2 linked regions of the Danio rerio genome follow. The protein of the gene in region 1 purifies or fractionates together with the protein of each later gene. This does not show direct contact. Links are inferred from orthologs where the notes say so. Each region holds a gene or a part of one and is shown on either strand. Other genes may lie near its edges. The genes, in order: lrp6 and axin1.

What was found.
Region 2: the proteins of lrp6 (region 1) and axin1 purify together in Homo sapiens (affinity purification with western blotting; 7 studies listed by BioGRID and IntAct, with this or other methods). This does not show direct contact. The link is inferred for Danio rerio from reciprocal best matches to the Homo sapiens genes LRP6 and AXIN1.

What each region holds. Positions count from the first base shown.
Region 1 is NC_133179.1:164,085-167,915, reverse strand, and holds part of lrp6 (low-density lipoprotein receptor-related protein 6 precursor), read right to left. Parts: intron 3,566-3,831; coding exon 3,394-3,565; intron 3,252-3,393; coding exon 3,035-3,251; intron 2,328-3,034; coding exon 2,038-2,327; intron 1,298-2,037; coding exon 1,071-1,297; intron 911-1,070; coding exon 726-910; intron 528-725; coding exon 201-527; intron 1-200. UniProt on the Homo sapiens protein: Component of the Wnt-Fzd-LRP5-LRP6 complex that triggers beta-catenin signaling through inducing aggregation of receptor-ligand complexes into ribosome-sized signalosomes.
Region 2 is NC_133178.1:42,662,572-42,666,402, forward strand, and holds part of axin1 (axin-1), read right to left. Parts: intron 1,517-3,831; coding exon 969-1,516; intron 1-968. UniProt on the Homo sapiens protein: Component of the beta-catenin destruction complex required for regulating CTNNB1 levels through phosphorylation and ubiquitination, and modulating Wnt-signaling.

The sequences.
Region 1 (3,831 bases):
GAGTTCAGCTGCGCTCCCCATCAGGACAGTGTTGATCAGTCATGTAGGAGAACCAGAACACACACACAACCCAACCACAGCGAGCCAGAGCCCCGCCCCTCTGCTGCACCAGCAACACTGAGGCCAATGAGTGTGTGACGTCAGTGTTGATGCAGTAGTGGGCGGGGCACACACACACACACACACACACACACACTCACCGCTGCAGGTCTTGTTGTCGGTGTTGAGGGAGTAGTGGGCGGGGCAGCCGCAGGTGAAGCTGCACACAGGTACGGCGAGGCACAGGTGTGAGCAGTGGCCGTTGGTGGCGGCGCAGGCGTTCCAGCCGCTCTGCCGGGACGAGTGGAACACCAGGATGTCCATCACGTAGTCCAGGTGGCCCTGAATGACGGTGCGGTTCTGCCCGCTGGTCTTGTTGGCGCGCTCGATGCTGCGCTGGCTCCAGTCCGTCCAGTAGATGTAGTCCTGATACTGCGTCAGGCCGAACGGGTGCGGGAGATCATCCGCGATCACCTCGCGCTCCAGACCTGCACACACACATACACACACACGCAGACACACGCGCACACACACACACACTCATTATCCAGCGTTGTGTTTATTATAAAGCTGAGATGCTAATATCACACTGAACACAGGGACAGCACACATTCAATGAGTGAGTGTGTGTGTGTGTGTGTGTGTGTGTGTGTGTGTGTGTGTGTGTGTGTGTGCGTGTGTGTTACCCAGCATGTTGGAGGACTCTATGAGTGTGGTGTCGAGGTCAGTCCAGTAGAGCCGTCGCTCAGCGTAATCGATGGTCAGTCCGTTCGCTCGGCCCACGTTCGGCACCAGAGTGATGCGGCCCGACCCGTCCATCGCTGCACGGTCTATCTTGGGCCGCCCGCCCCACTCTGTCCAGTACATGAACCTACGCCACACACACACACACACACACTGATATTAGACCTTTTATTATATATAGTAATAGTAGCACACACACACACACACACACACACACACACATATACACACACACACACACACACACACACACACACACACACACACACACACAGAGTCAGTCGTACCCTTCAGCGGGGTCGAGGGCGAGTGCGCGGGGGCTGTCCAGATCCTTCCACACCAGCACCTGCCGGTGCTGCCCGTCCAGCTTGGCCACCTCGATGCGGTTGGTGCCCGTGTCAGCCCAGTACAGGTTCTTGCCCAGCCAGTCCACCGCCATGCCTTCTGGGTAATCCAGCCCGAACTCCACCACATGCTCCAGAGAGCTGCCGTTCATGAAGGCCCGACTGATCGTCTGAAACACACAACTGCACAATCAACAACACACACACACACACACACACACACACACACAACTAAACCAACACACTGCACAATCAACAACACCACACACACACACACACACACACACACACACACACACAACTAAACCAACACACTGCACAATCAACAACACACACACACACACACACACACACACACAACTAAACCAACACACTGCACAATCAACAACACACACACACACACACACACACACAACTAAACCAACACACTGCACAATCAACAACACACACACACACACACACACGAGCACACACACAAGCACACACACACACACACACACACAACTAAACCAACACACTGCACACACACACGCTGCACTACACAATAAACAACAGAATTCTGTGTGTGTGTGCAGTGTGTTGGTTTAGTTGTGTGTGTGTGTGTGTGTGTGTGCGCTGACCTTCAGTGTGATGTCGGTCCAGTATATGCGGTTGTCGTGTGTGTGTGTGTGTGTGTGTGTGTGCGCTGACCTTCAGTGTGATGTCGGTCCAGTATATGTGGTTGTCGTGTGTGTGTGTGTGTGTGTGTGTGTGTGTGTGTGTGTGTGTGTGTGTGTGTGTGCGCGTGCGCGCGCTGACCTTCAGTGTGATGTCGGTCCAGTATATGTGGTTGTCGTGTGTGTGTGCGTGTGTGTGTGTGTGTGTGTGTGTGTGTGTGTGTGTGTGTGTGTGTGTGTGCGCGTGCGCTGACCTTCAGTGTGATGTCGGTCCAGTATATGCGGTTGTCGGTGATGTCGAAGTCGAGGGCGGACGCCTCCTTGACGCCGGTCAGTGGGATGGCCACGTTGTTGTTGTTGGTCTCCAGGGAGATGCGTCTGATGTCGGTGTGGCGGGAAAACAGCAGGAAGGCCTCGGGGACGATGCAGGTGCTGAGATCCGCCATCAGCTCCAGGCCGATAGGACACGCACACGACACACCCTGAGGCCGGTACAGGCACAGGTGACTGCAGCCGCCATTAGCCCACGCACACGGGTTCACCCCTGCGCACACACACACACACACACACACACACACACAATCAAGTATTTTAAAAATGGTTTATAAAAGGTCTCTGGTTTGAGTCTCGGCTGGGTCAGTTGGTGTTTCTGTGTGGAGTTTGCATGTTCTCCCCGTGTTGGTGTGGGTTTCCTCCGGGTGCTCCGGTTTCCCCCACAGTCCAAACACATGCGCTATAGGGGAATGGCAAACGCCTGGAAGGGCATCCGCTGTGTATAAAATATGCTGGAATAGTTGGCGGTTCATTCCGCTGTGGCGACTGCTGATTCATAAAGGGATATTAGCTGTTATTAGCGGTGTTCTCTGAATGGAGAGGGTTTGTTTGACACATCCAATCATGCTAAATCTGTTGTGTTATCTGACAGAACAGGAGCGCTCTAAAAGTAGCCGGTTCTCCTTTGCTGTGTAATATCCCTCCGCCTGGTGCAGCTGCGACATGTTTTATTATGTATTTAGTATAGTTCCTGTTAATATTTGCCTAGAGAACACATCTTATACATATGAATGAATAACTCTTTAAATGAAATGCTAATGGTCTAATCTGATTCTACTCATTATGCTAAGCTAAGCTAAAACAAGAGACCGGCTGAAGTCATTGAACTCTGGGAGACTCGTGAAATGAGGCTTTTCCAAATACAGGTGGAGTGATGCAGTAATGCGCTGTAGCGGATTAGCATTAGCATTAGCTTACCGAAGGTCTGGTGGACGAACGTGGCCTTGATGCCCATGAGGTCGGGCAGCTGGTCGATGATGACCTCCCGCTCGGTGCTGCGCTTGTGCACGCGCTCGATGCTGCGCCGCTGCCAGTCCGTCCAGTAGATGTAGTCTCCCAGCAGCGTGAAGCCGAACACATGCGGCAGGTTATCCTCCAGCAGAACCCGCCGGCCCGAACCGTCCATCTCCATCACCTGCAGGACAACACACACCTGCTCATCAGCGCCGTGTCAGGACACTTGAAGGAGAGCCATTCTGAGCCTTTATACGAGCTGCAAGACACGTCTCTGCTGTGTGTGTGTGTGTGTGTGTGTGTGTGTGTGTGTGAGATCTGACCTCGATGACGTCGGTCTTGGCGTCCCCCCAGTAGATCTTCCTCTCGCTGTAGTCGAGCGCCAGGCCGTTGGGCCAGCCCAGAGAAGTGTTGACCATCACCATCCGCTGCGACCCGTCCAGAGCCGCCCGCTCGATCTTCGGCACCTCGCCCCAGTCTGTCCAGTACATGTATCTGCGACACACACACACACACACACACACACACACCATCAGCTGCTGAAGACACTGCACTCCTCCTGTCCTCCTGCAGTGTGGTGTTCCTCTGGGCTCTCTCAGCTCACACCAGCTCTGATATTCGCACTGATCTTACAGTTCGGCTGGAATAACAGCAGCGTTTAGTGTAAAACACATGCTGATCCGCTTGTGTACAGAGTACTGCGCTGTGCTGTCGTGACTCGGCTGATTGTCCTGGCTCTGAGCAGAACACTGGTGTCTCAT
Region 2 (3,831 bases), on another chromosome or scaffold:
AACTCATCTTTTTCCAAACAGGAGTACGCAAACTTATATTTTGCTGTCTGTTTTGCTATATGTGGAGACACAACACCATCTCGCGTTTGTTAATATTAGGAGTAAAATAAATAAATTTATGCTTTTTATGAGTCAAACCCTTTGGACAACACTAGAACAAAATTCAAGACCTCGTAAAACCGTGATTAAGACGTTTTTATACCTTAAAAGGGTCTTAATTTTTTTATAATAGATTTATCAATTTTTGTTAACTTTTTAAGACTCGACAGACACCCTGCTGATGTAAGTTGAGATAACTAAAAAAGTTTATTTGATTCATCTAAAAACAGCAAGTTAGACTTTGCATTTGTAATTGACTTACTTAAATAAGTTTAAGCAGCATAAAAATATTGAGTTGACTTTTTGTGATGACATTTTTTTAATATCCGCTTGTTAAGTGGTGACGTGTTTGTGACGTATGTAATACCGTTTCCGGGTCCAAGCCGCCATTCATTTGAGTGGAGAAATCATTCGTTTATGATCACGTTTTATTCCTATCACACAATAAAGTTAATTTTATATAAAATCATAGTGTACACAACAATCTTTGGGCTTGCTGCATAACAAATACCAAAAATTTAACAATTTATAAAAAAAATTATCTCTTTTGGCCATCGGATATTAGGCATGGACATATATTGCGATCGTGATTTTCGAAAGCCTTAAAACGCTTTGTAAACGTTTATTATTACCATTTCATGAGTCTCCCTATTCAGTTGAATAGAGTGATTGGAACCGGAAGCCGCTTCGCGTGACGTCACACTTAACAAGCGGATAGGCCTCTTTCAAATCTTTCAAAAGCTGCATCAAAGGTGGCAGCGAAGACATTTATCAAACTTTCTATTCATCCTGTGCACCAGATCAGCATTTTAGTGGATTTGGGATCATTATTTGTCTTTATAGCTGACATAAGTGATTGAGACATGTACCTGTAACCCATAGGGTCCATGGTGTTGGGACCGACGCTCATTCCATCTGCATAGTTGCGTGACTTGGGTCCATAGTGGTGTTGCTCCGTGTTCCAGGCGAATCCTCCATGCATCCTTGCAGCCTCTGCCTCCGCCTGCTCTTTGGGCTTTCCCGCCGCAGCATAGTGTGTGTGGTGGATGTGTTTGTGATGATGCAGGTGCGCCGCCTCACCCTTTGGGCCCTGCCGAGCCTGGTGCTTGCCTTGGCCACCAGACAGCGGCATCATCAGCCCAGGAATCTTACCCGCCGGCAGCCCATCTGGCGAGCGGGACTTCGGAGAATGGCGTCCGGTGCCTGGAGATTGACAGCCAGGAGTTTTCATGACCCGCTGTACATGCTCATCCAGGATGCTTTCGGGGTTTTCCTCGTGCGCGTCCCTTAGCTGCAGCCCGTTGTAGCTCATTTCAGAGTAGCGACCACCATAATGCTGAACGTGGACCGCTGGAGGAATCCTGTGATTGGCCAGAGAGGGACCGGTGGAGATGTCTGCATCATCACCTTCCTCTTCCTACAAGACAACAGTGAGAGGGTAGATTTTAACAAATGCTTTATTTTGAAATTTTAACCAAATATTAATTATAATGACTGTGGAGAAAGTAATGAACCAAGTGGACTACAGAAAACAATGGGATGCAGAATCACTGTGTGTAGTAACAATGTTAAACCAGCAGATGTCATCCTTTCACAGGAGTCTTAAGATTATGCTATTGCTGAAAGAAAGGGCTTTGTTATGGTTACATTCAAAACACACAATGCCCTAAAAATGAGCAATGCAAGACTTCGCTTCATGCTCAAAATATGCTTTTAATGGTCATTATAATTAGAAAAATGAGAAAATAAATAACATCTGATTTGCAACCGGATCAAGGGATTTCATATATTTTAATGATTAGTTCTGTCACTTTCCGACCTTGATATTACCAGCAAACTACACTAAACTAGAGATGCACACTGTATTGTTTCAGCATCGATATCGCAATGTGTGGGTCCGCAATAGTCACATCGCAGGATATGAAATGTTGAACTGAGATACAGTTGATCAGTACAATAATTGAGAATACTTGAGAGTCACTGCAAAGGATAACCATAATAGAGTGAAACCTTATCGTTTCCATGTGTTTTAAAGATGTTTCAAGATAGTTTAAAGCATTCAAGAACAAAAACATATAATATTTGTAACTTCACTGTATTATTCATGTATTATTTCATTTTCTTTTCGGCATAGACCTTTTAATAATCTGGGGTCACCACAGCAGAATGAACCACCAACTTATCCAGCCTATGTTTTACGCAGAAGGATGCCCTTCCAGCTGCAATCTATCACTGGGAAACATCCATACACACTCATTCACACATACACTACGGATACCACATGTTTTGGACTTGTGGGGGAAACCGGAGCACCCGGAGGAAACCCACACAAACATGGAGAGAGCATGCAAACTCCACAAAGAAATGCCAACTCACCCAGCAGGGGCTTAAATAAGCGACCTTCTTGCTGTGAGGCGATTGTGCTTCCCACTGCGCCACTGTGCTCTTCATTGTATTAATAATTCAGTAAAATGATTCTTCATTACAGACTACTATACTGTGTTATTATTTTACATTTCATTATTCAATTTCTGGGTGACGCGGTGCCAATTACTTACCTTTCAATGAACAGGATTTGATTATGGCTGCAGATCAAATGCAAATTAGCCAACTGTAACGTATATTCACCGGCACATCTAACATTAACATTGTGTTAAAGAAATTTCGTCATTCTGAGTTCATAATAGTCCAAGAGGTGATGATAATAGTTAAACATGGCAGTTTGTTCATCTTTCAGGATGCTGAAACAATCATTTACCGCTATGTTTGTGCTTCGCTCACTTCTTTCACGCGCATTATTATTATTATTATTATGAGCTCAAGTTAGTTAATTCAAATATAGACGCGCAACGAGCTCTCCATTGAAACCACTCGCACTTTTAGACTGCCTCGTAAACACCAACAGGATTCTGCTCTTCCTCTTAGCTTTGCTGCTGTTCATCTAGACAACAACAAGCTGTGTTTGAGCTCGGGTTGACCATGGCTTGTTATTAATTGTATATATTATTACGATTTAATTTCTTGGCTATTTAAAAATTATGCTTCCTTTGTTTTAATTTTCCTGGCTTACACACGCTAGTAACATTTCTCTATAAACCAATAGCATTGAGTTGCGCGTCTCGCTCCATCTTTTGGTACCCTTTTCAAGTCAAGTCTGTGTTATTGTTAACAATATACAGTGCAGTACACACAGTGAAACGAAACAAGTTCCTCCAGGACCAAGATGCTGCATCAAACAACACTGACAACATAACACAGGACTGTGCACTACTATAAAAAAAATCTAGAGAATGTGATAAAAAATGATAAGGTAAGGGTAGCCAAAAGTGGTATAGTATTTTGACATTGGAAACGAACATAAAAGCATACAGAACTGTAGCACTCAGTGGAAATGGGTCATATTTAGCCAATTGACATGCCATATAATTGCTCCGTTTGATTAGACAGTTCATTTATATGTATTTTGCAAAAGGCCAAGATTCAAAAAAAAAAAAAAAAAAAAGTAAAAATAAAATATATTAAGTACACACAATACATAATAAGTAATTAAGTTTATTATTTCTATGTGTCTAAAAATATCAGTATTTAGCCACATTTTTTCAACAATCGTAAGTGCTTCAATACAGGAAGCAGTTGTCTTATAAATATTTCAGAATATTTCATATCAAACAGCCACGGTGAGCTTAAGAGACTACTTTCAAAAACATGTTTTTAAATCTTACCAACCTGAAA